Linked DNA regions of Arabidopsis thaliana. The protein of the gene in region 2 interacts with the protein of the main gene of each other region in a pairwise test. Each region holds a gene or a part of one and is shown on either strand. Other genes may lie near its edges. The genes, in order: AT1G71020 and AT1G03520.

Region 1 (5,115 bases), about 26 Mb from region 2:
TTGGATTCCAAGTTTTGGTGAGGCTCCAAGGGCTTTGCTCTGATTCCTAAACGCTTCACTGCTTCGGATTCCAAGAGAACGTGGCCTGGAAAATCTTTAACCACTGTACCAGCTTCCACAGGCGTTTTCAGTTTGAAACTCTCGCCATTGATGTTCATGATTGTCGCTGTTTTCTTGGTTCCCAAGCTATTTCCCATTTTGGTGAATGATGTTGTGTAAAATGTTAGTATCTTTTAGGTTCACAAATGAGATGAAAAAACTTTGTAGGTTGGTGTCTATTAAGAGCTCAGTAGTTCAAGGTGGGTGTTGTGTTAGATCAGATCATTATAGATTTTGGATTTGATTTATGGTTGGTTGCTGATGATAGTGAACCATTTCTTGGTCAACAAAATGCCAAAATCTTGAAAATTATTAAAACAATGAGAAGACAAAAGTTACGTCGCATTTCACTATCAATCTTGAAAAGACCAATAACAACCCAAAATTTATGCTTAATTTTATAAATAGAAATGGAAAATGTGTACTGTTCTTCACTTCGACCATAGTATATTTTGTACTATGTGATTTTGGAAGTTTTGAGACCAATGTTTTCTGAGAAAATGACACTTGCGTTAATCGCTCCGATTAATCTGGAAAACTACGTTGTCGAAACATTTTTTCTCAAAGACACGTGAAGAGATTGACTTTTAACGAATTTGAAAACAAAAAGCTGATTTGATTTCTCTTTCTAGGAACAGTAACAACACACGACCTTTATCAAATCATATGAAACATTTTTTTTAACAAAATTAACAAATCAATACAAAGATGAGTCAAAGAGTTCGATTCTCGTTAACTCTTTTGACTCCACCTTCTCCTCAAATGGAAATTAAATTAGTCTTCCAAAAACTCAATAAGATACAGGACATAATAAACAGATCAATAGCCAGCAAAACTAAATTAATTCATGTTAAGGGCTATTTAGAGTGAACCTAATTTTCGGGATGATTTACGGAGAAGCTCTAGTAAAGAATTAGCTTTTCGTTTAGCTCTCTCTGTACCGTCTCTTGATAGTTCCATCAATGGAACAACAGCTCCAAGTCTACCAATGGAGATCAGTTTTTCAGTATCTCTCTTGCAAAGACACAGTAGTATCGCAGCTGCGTTCTCTCGGTTTCGCGGTTGATCCTTCTGGAGACAATCTATCAAAGGTGGTATTGCGTTGGCTCTCAAAATCGCAGTTTTCGCGACTTGGTTACTAGCTAGAACCGAGAGTATGGTCAAGGCTTCATCAGCCATCCTCTCGCTCGAGGAGTCTGTCAGCATTTTCACCAATGGCTTTACTATACCGGCTCTAACTGCTCTGCCTTTGTTTCCCTGGTAAATACACAAGTTGAACAGAGCCGTAGCTGCGTCTTTCTTCCCTCTGACGCTTCCATATTGAAGCAGATCCACTAAGGCCATTATCGCACCTGATGCGCCTATAATGATCTTGTTCTCATCAGCTAACGAAAGACTAAAGAGAGTAGCTGCAGCGTTTTCTCTAGCTTCCATGCTTCCAGCTCGGAGGACTAGCACTATAGATGTGACTGCTCCTGCAAGCATGATCAGTTCTTTGTTGTGTTCGTATATGGAGAGGTTAAGAATGCAAGTGACAGCATTTTCCTGCGTTTCAGTGTCACCATCTGAGGTCAAAAGCTTGACCAAAACAGGGATGGCTCCTGCCTCTGCAATCAGAATTCGGTTGTCTGTGCTTCTTTTTGACAGAGAGCGGATTTCAGAAACCGCAGTCCTGCGGTCTTCGATTGATTGGCTAGAGAGTTTACAAACCAATGCTCGGATCGCTGACATATCTCCACTTAGATCACGGAAAGACCCATCACTGTTTTTGGTCCTACCGTTCATGTAACCACCTGGTTGCTCAATGTTGTGCTTAGTGCACCACTGAGATATCAGGCTTCTGAGGACATAGTTTGGAGTAAGAGTAAAGTTTTCAAGTTTCTGCTGTGTCTTTGGGCAGCTCAGATTTCCACAGTCTATCCATCTCTGAATGAACGACCTCTCGTATGTCTGCCAACGAAGAGAGAAGATCATTGTTAAGGTTTCAAATCAACAACCATACGTTAGCACTATATAAAGATTTGATTTTTTAAACCAGACCTGTCCTGTGGAAACAATAGCAGGATCCTTCATCAGTTCCAGAGAGATTGGACAAAGAAAGTCCTCTGGAATCGTGAGATTATCCGATTTCTGTGAGTCATCGCTGTTCTCGGTAACTGCTTTCTCTAATCTCTCATCATCACCATCCTTTGATAAAAAGAAGGCCAATGATACTGAAGAGCTCTTCCAAGGAGGGGGTGATTCAAATTTCTTCTCATCTGATAAAGAATGCACTGTCTCTGGAATACTCTCCAACTTTTCAATAACTTTTCTATTACTTGAGGCATCTTTCTCCATTGGCTCAGATAAACCACTCGAGAACTTCTTCGAATTTAACGATCCATATCTCTGCATTGCTCTTCTTAACTGTAATCTTGCTAGTTCCACCTAATCACAAGCAAAAAAAAACCCTTAGAAACACCTCCATGGATAGGAAAACCAAATCTTCATACATTCTACATAATGAACAAACTTTTACCTGTTCACGGACTTCGTCAGAGATATCATATCTATCATATGTCAAATCACCTAATGCTTTCTCCAGCTTCCATGTAACACATTGGAACTGGAATGAGATCCTCTTGGCTGCCCCATCCTTCAATCAAAATCACACATCAAAGTTTAGAGAGCTCCTCATGTATATATTAATAATGCTCTTCACTACACAAATGTCAACAATAGTATCTTCCAATCTAAAAAAACTAAAAACAAATTCTTCCTATAAATTACGTTCCTGCCATGGCGAGACCAAATCTTCGTGAAATCACAAATCCATTTTCAATCGTTGAGAATGGTTTAGAATGCTTACAGAGGACTCGCGAGCTTGGAAACTAGTAGCTGAAGACAAAAGACGCTTCGCGGCTTGAAGTCCCACCACAAGATCAGACCACCAATCACATTCATGAGAATTCAACGAAGAAGAAGCATCAGATTCCGACGGCGGAGAAGAATCCCTGATTTCCTCAATCAAATGCGTCAGGAGACCGACTCGTCGCGCGAGATCGGAACAATCCTTCTTAAACAAACCAAAATTCCCCGGAATCTCATTGATTTCAGCAATAAGACCGATGAGAGAATCGGGAGTGATAGCTCCACCAGCCATTACGCCGTCTCACACGGCGGCTTAAAATTCGAATTTTTGTGACTCGCTCTCTCTCTCTCGCTGGCTCGCTTCTGACTCAGAGATGCGTCTCTATCGCTTTTATGTATCCAACGAAGCCATGTGGCGAAAAAGGATAAGTCGCTGTTACGACACCGTTTTGGTTTTAGTGTTTTTTGTTTTAAACTTTTTATCTAACTCTAAAAATGGTTTTTTCTTTTCTTTTTAGTTTACTGGCTTTATATTTTTAGATAAAAGTTTATGTGATACATTTAAATAATACAATAGAACAAACTAGATAATTGAGAGCGAGATTCACGGTGCAAGTAGAGGTTGAAGAGAAAATGATACAGTTGTCAAAAAAATAATCAATTATTATCATTTATATTAGATCAAAACTGTATAATAGAAATGAACTATACTTTTAAATTCAATAAAAAAATCCACTTTTCTATTTATTGAAGAAAATGGTTTGTTGTGTGCTTAGTTGTAAAGTAGATCTTATATGATTGTATTTTATAGTTGTGTTGAAATTTATGTTGGAGTTATGAAATTTATCTGTATGTATTATTTATGTAATCTTAAATGGTAATAAATAGTCAAATTAGTTATTTTTTCTATTTGAAAAGAAACTAAGATAAAATTTCCAGGCCTTTAGATGCATTGTATTGACATGTGTTTCTAGTATATGATCTGTCTTACCCTAGTGTTTATTAAAAGATGGAAAAAATCTTCTTTGTAATTAACTAAATATAGCTTTACATGTTTTATTTTCCCTTAAAAATAACTTTGTATGTGTAAGAAAATTTAATATCTCTTACAGCAAAAATGTTCTAGAAAAATTATGTCAATTAACATAATTTTGGTGAGTATTATATAGCCTGCAAATGGAACGGTCGAACATGACCCGGTAGATCGAATTTTAACAACATTTTAGATAATTTGAAGCATGTATACAAATTGGGACCTATAATTTTCTTAAAACTGTTTTACCACAGTTTAGTATACTTTTGATTAAAATTTATAAACATGACTTACATATAGTTTGTGACAGTCTTGTATTGAAAAGTTATCTCGGTTTAACAAAAGAAAGGTTCAACCACGACATCCACATCATATCGGCCGACGTCCATGCCCGTGACTTCTGCGTCCTACATAACAACCGATAGCAACTTGAAAAATAGACAACATTATCTTTTAGACATTTTTGGCAAGTTTGACTGGCTGGTTTCATAATTATTTTTGGACATATGCAAAAATAAAAAGATCTACATAAAGAAGAGGGTATTCGTCTGAATCAGATGAAGATTAATAACCTTGAAGTGTTTGATGAGGCATGTGATTTTTGCTTGCACATCCACACACAACTCTCCATTAACCACAATACTCACCGTTATTTCTGAAATTTATGGTGTAGTTGTACTTGCGGAACAATATGAAAGTGAAGGTGAGATCAGAGTTTATACAGTTGTGGAAACAACTTCTTTGATGGTTGTAGATCCCGCAATCGTAGAAACAACCTTAATGATGATTGTAGTTTCGATGATAAATATTGGTCCATTTTCTTAGCAAACAATCTCCTCTTCTATACTTGTCAAACATTCATATTCTTTGGTCATGCAATTTTGTTTAATATTTGATGATGTTTGAATAGCGGTTGTACAAATGTATTTACTTTCTAATTTTTATTTTAAGCATGTATGAAGATACTTTAAACAAATTCATTGTGAGTTTTGTTCAAAATATATGTGAACGTGTTTGTACTAGTTGGTGCATATTTGACCGTATAGTCTCCATGCTTAAGACATCCTTAAATCGATACATTTCATTATTTTATAAGTTAACTAATTTGCTTCCTTTATATCTTTAGTAAGTAA
Region 2 (4,820 bases):
CTGTACCAACTAAACCCTTTATGATAGCATTGAAAGAAGACTCATTTGGCATAACATCCATAGCTTCATACAACTCCACTGCTTCCTTAACCTTCCCACAATGTGTGTAATGCGAAATCATCGCGTTCCATACTACCGCATTCCTCTGAGGAATTTCGTCGAACAGTTTACGAGCATGAGAAACAGACAAGCATTTACCATACATATCGAGTAACGCGCATCCAACAAATGGGTTCGACAGAAAATTGGATTTGACGGAGTGTGCATGGACTGATCCACCGAGAACAGGACGGAAAGCTGCAGCGCACGATTTGAGAGCGAGTGAGAAGACGTGTGCATCGAGAGGTAAGGCGAAAGAAGAATGCATTTGAAGAAAGAGATTAAGAGCTTGTTCATGGTTTCCTTGGTTCGCGTAAGAGCTTAATTGTTTGGTGAGAGAGATCAATTTAGTGCAGCTCGACGCGTACGAAGAAGACATGGAGTGGTGGAGATAGAGCTTTCGGTGTTGGCGTCAGCCTTCAAGAAATACAAATTAGTTTGTTGTTAAATAGTTATGTTCTAAACAACCAAACAACAAAGTCGTTGTAGTATAGTGGTAAGTATTCCCGCCTGTCACGCGGGTGACCCGGGTTCGATCCCCGGCAACGGCGATCTTTTTTATTTTCGGCTGTACAAGCTAATTGGGCCTTATTCTTGGTCCCCTATAAATATGGCCCTATCAATGCCACTTCACTGACGCTATACGGCCCATAAAAGCCCACTGCACGTCACTTGTTCTTAATTCATGTGTTTCGAAGAAATTTCTATAACCAAAAATTTATAATCAAACAAAACAATATACTGTACAACGTTATATTTTGCGTCATCAGTAGATAACTTCAAGAACACTGTTTTCGCCTAAATTCTTCAGAGGAAAGTGTTTGAACAAGCTCCTGCAACCTCTCAGAACCAGGTCCTGGTTTCAACACCGAGTCGTCACCTTGCACAGAGCACTGATCATTGCCATTAGCTGAACTCCCGACACACCATCCTCCTGGTGCAAACCGGTGTGTCCGTCCCAATAGCTCTTTATCGATCTTGTCTAACGCAGGATCGTTTTTGTGGAACTTGCGTGCAAATGGAGCTTTGCTCTTGACCATATTGTCAAAATCCTTCAACGAGAGAGATCTAGGGTGTTGCTTTGGAGGACTGTCCCAAGCAATGTAGTGAAGGTCGTGACCGATTGCAGTGTTGATAAACTCTTTGCTGTTGCAGATTACTGTGTGGAAGTATCCTTCAGGAGAAGATACGAAATTTGTGTAGTACATTAGTATTGTTCTTGGGAAATTATCCCATCCCCAAATGCAGTACTCGAGGAAAGACCGAGTCAACATTATCCAAGCTGAGCCTGCAGAATTAAGACATAAATCATCTTCAAACATTTCATAATCTTTCTCACAGATATGAAACTGTGAGATTAAAGAAGATAACCAGTGAATAGCCTGAAAGAATTTGGAAGTGATCGCCGTTGAGTAGTCCAAGCGATATCGGATTTCTTCGATAGGTATAGGGCAGGATCAACAATGATTGATTTAGCCCTCTGATTCCTGCTAAGAAATTCCAAGTAAGTACAGATGCTTTGAGATTCTGGTGTGACTCTGAATAATGAAGCATGGTTATACTTACAGTTTCCATCCGGTGAGCTGCATATTCTCGATGAAATTGACATTCCGAGACAGATTTGAGAAGACATACAACAAATCTACAGAAACAAAAAGAAAAGCCAAAATTATAAGTCACAACTAAATATAAAGCTCAAAAGGATCATAGACTACTAAAGCATTATAGAGAGAGTTACTAACCATCTTGTGTTACTAGAGGATAATCCGAGGCACTAAGGTTAAGAAACCAATCCCAATGTAAGCTTTCTCTTAGCAAGATTGAAACGGCTTGAAGAGTACAAGCAATCATTGTAGGGCCTTTATAAGTAACAAGATTAGACTGAGCCATCACACGAACATTCTCCATTTCACGGAAAGTCGGATCAGTCTTCACGGACATGGCCAGCTCCATCCGTTCTCGAGGTGGAGCCTCAAGATCCAAATGCAGAACATACTGGTTTCTAGGATGGTACACAGCTTGTAAAGTCCTCATCATCCTATGACTATCGCCTTTTGTTCCCGATATTAAATAAGCTAATCTAGGAGGCTCTGGATTAACATCAGCCGTCGAATTCATAGATTGCTTGAAATCTGATTCTACAAAGTAGTCATTAGACTCTGAAACAACATCAACTGGTAATTGATCTTCTTCCCCAAAGAAGTTGTCGAATTGGCCAGAAATTAACAAAATCAGAAGAGTAATGGACATGATCAAGCTAGCTAGAAAAGGGAACAACCATTTTCTGTCGCTGAAAGCTCTAAACCCTGAATGTGAACTAACATGTCTCTTGACCCTAGCAAATGGGTCTCTGAATGAAACCAGCTTCCTATACAATTTTCTCATTCCCTAACCACTTATCCTATCCAACGAAGAAACCCAATTCAGATATGTTGTCTTCTATAGAATACCAAATTAGCATCAAAGATCGAATCTGATTACAGATTCAAATCAATATAAGGATTGATGCGAAAACGATTACCAGAGACCAAGAGGAGACTTGCAACAAAGTTTCCGAATTGGGCAAGTTCAGCAAAAATTGATTTAAAAGAGAGGACCTTTTTAAAGAGATAAAGAACATCCACTAGGGAATCAACAATCCAAAGGCGAAAGCAATGGCTTTTAGTCGAAGCTGAGTCAGATCTAATCTCCAAATCGATTTCAAAAATGAAACAGACAGCAGAAGAAGGCCAGAGATACTTCAAGTTTAAGTCTTGAAATTACCTTAAAGAGACAAGACACGTCCGCTGAAAGAGACAGACGCTAAAGAAGATAAATTCGGGTAGCAGAAAGAGACAGGAAAAGTGTTTACAACTTCTGATTGCAATAACTCAGAACTGGGCAAGAGAGAAATATGAAAGTTCAATCCTTTGAAGAAACAGAAATTTTGGTAAAAATGAAGTTGTCTGTAGATTCAAAGCTGTCTTAAAAGAGAAAATGTGAAATCGACGCGGGGAAGAAGAGAGAGAGAGATACAGAGAGAGACAGAGAGACATGGCAATTAATTTAAACATCAAACATTTCGTGGTGTAAGCTTTAATAATTGTTGGCAAAATCAAAATCAATCAGTAGAGAATTTAATGATCATGTACGACTCTCAAACCCTTTACAAGCGATGACGTACACGTGGCATTATCAACTCATAATAATACGTTAGATAAGTAACGAAATTAACGGCGAGAAAAAAAAAACACTGTTCTTATGTTGCTGCCTAATTCACTGCTAGTGAGTATAGTCTATTCTACTCTATAGCCAGTTTGACTTTGGTGGTACAAGGAGAAGGAACAACAGAGAAATCAAAGTTCGTTTTACTGTTATAGAGAATGTGTAAAAAAAAAAAGATCATAATCATACAAAAACTGGCATACAAAACTAAATATAGCCTGGCTATGACACACATTAGCAGTTTAGTATGCTTCCAAAAAAAGTTTCATCCAGACTGTTGCCGGCCTCTACCTCGCCCACGTCCGAAGCGACCCCGCCCTCTACCTCTACCACGACCATGGAAGCCCCTTCCCCGTTCAGAAGACTGCCCGCTGCTAAACCCTTGAGATTGTGGTTCCATTGGGGACTGCAAATCACTTGGTGACTGCGGGATTTGTGACTGTAGTGGTCGCACATCAGATTGTGCTTGCATTTGGAACTGCGGGTTCGCTGGAGACTGTGGTCGGTGCATCATTTGGTACTGCGGGTTCATTGGAGATTGCTGGTGGGGCTGGAACTGTGGTGGCATTTGGAACTGTGGATTCATTTGAGACTGTGGCCGGTGCATTTGGGACTGTGGTGGGTGCATTTGAAGACCTTGAGAAAACATATTAAAACTCAGCTCATTTGGTAATGGCTGCTGCTGAATACCACGACCCATCCCAAACTGTTGGTTGAAACAATTCTGACCTACCATTGCAGGCCATGGCGCTGAAGCCTGTCCTGGAAAGAAGTTTAAGCCTCCCGGTCCACCTGGCATTGGCATCTGGCCACCATTGAACTGCGGTTGGAACATCATTTGATTTTGATTTTGCATTGCCATGAAAGGTATCTGCATTCCCATCTGATTAGGTATAGGAGGAAGCTGATATGGGTTCTGCTGATTACTCTGGGGTCTCCATGCTGCATTGTTTGGAGGAAAACCGTCCATTTGAGGACGCGGACCACCCATTTGAGGATCAGAACGGTTTGACGATAGAGAACTAGATCCCTGGTTCTTCGTCCATTCCCCTGAGTAACTGCTTGTAGGCCTTCCGGGATCTCGGTTTTTCTTCTTCTTGTTCCTGGTGTTACCGGTTTTCTGGTCACTCATCATTCCTCTCTTTTCCAACTTCTGCATTCTTCTGTATTCGGCTTCTTTTTCATCATCTGAGAACTCTAGCTCGTCTGGTATCTCCTCGTCGTTATCCCCAGATGCATCGTAACCTTTCTTCTGCAGTTCCTTGATATTGAGAATATGTTGAGCGAAATCGGCGACAAATGAGACAGGTGTCCCTTGACAAACCCCTTCTGGCACTTCACTCTCTGAATTGAACCTCACAATATAATAAGGGCACTTCACGGGTCCAAAGATCTCATCCACCAGTCCCAATGGCGTTCTTTTTTCAGTTATCCAAAGGATAGAACCTTCAGTCAAAGGACTATGCTTTTCCATTCCCTCAACTATTACTTGTGCGCTCATTACCTGTAAAATCACA

Evidence for each region.
Region 1: the proteins of AT1G03520 (region 2) and AT1G71020 interact in a protein complementation assay, tested with the Arabidopsis thaliana proteins (one large-scale study listed by BioGRID).

What each region holds. Positions count from the first base shown.
Region 1 is NC_003070.9:26,789,865-26,794,979, forward strand, and holds AT1G71020 (ARM repeat superfamily protein), read right to left. Parts: upstream 3,456-5,115; 5' UTR 3,242-3,455; coding exon 2,948-3,241; exon of another isoform or gene 2,735-2,947; coding exon 2,618-2,734; intron 2,527-2,617; coding exon 2,140-2,526; intron 2,050-2,139; coding exon 961-2,049; 3' UTR 685-960; downstream 1-684. Other genes in the region: AT1G71015 (plastid movement impaired protein), read right to left, coding at 1-197. UniProt on the Arabidopsis thaliana protein: Functions as an E3 ubiquitin ligase.
Region 2 is NC_003070.9:877,070-881,889, forward strand, and holds AT1G03520 (Core-2/I-branching beta-1,6-N-acetylglucosaminyltransferase family protein), read right to left. Parts: upstream 3,191-4,820; 5' UTR 2,485-3,190; coding exon 1,842-2,484; intron 1,742-1,841; coding exon 1,666-1,741; intron 1,587-1,665; coding exon 1,471-1,586; intron 1,388-1,470; coding exon 879-1,387; 3' UTR 792-878; downstream 1-791. Other genes in the region: AT1G03510 (Tetratricopeptide repeat (TPR)-like superfamily protein), read right to left, coding at 1-478; NAF1 (nuclear assembly factor 1), read right to left, coding at 3,569-4,807.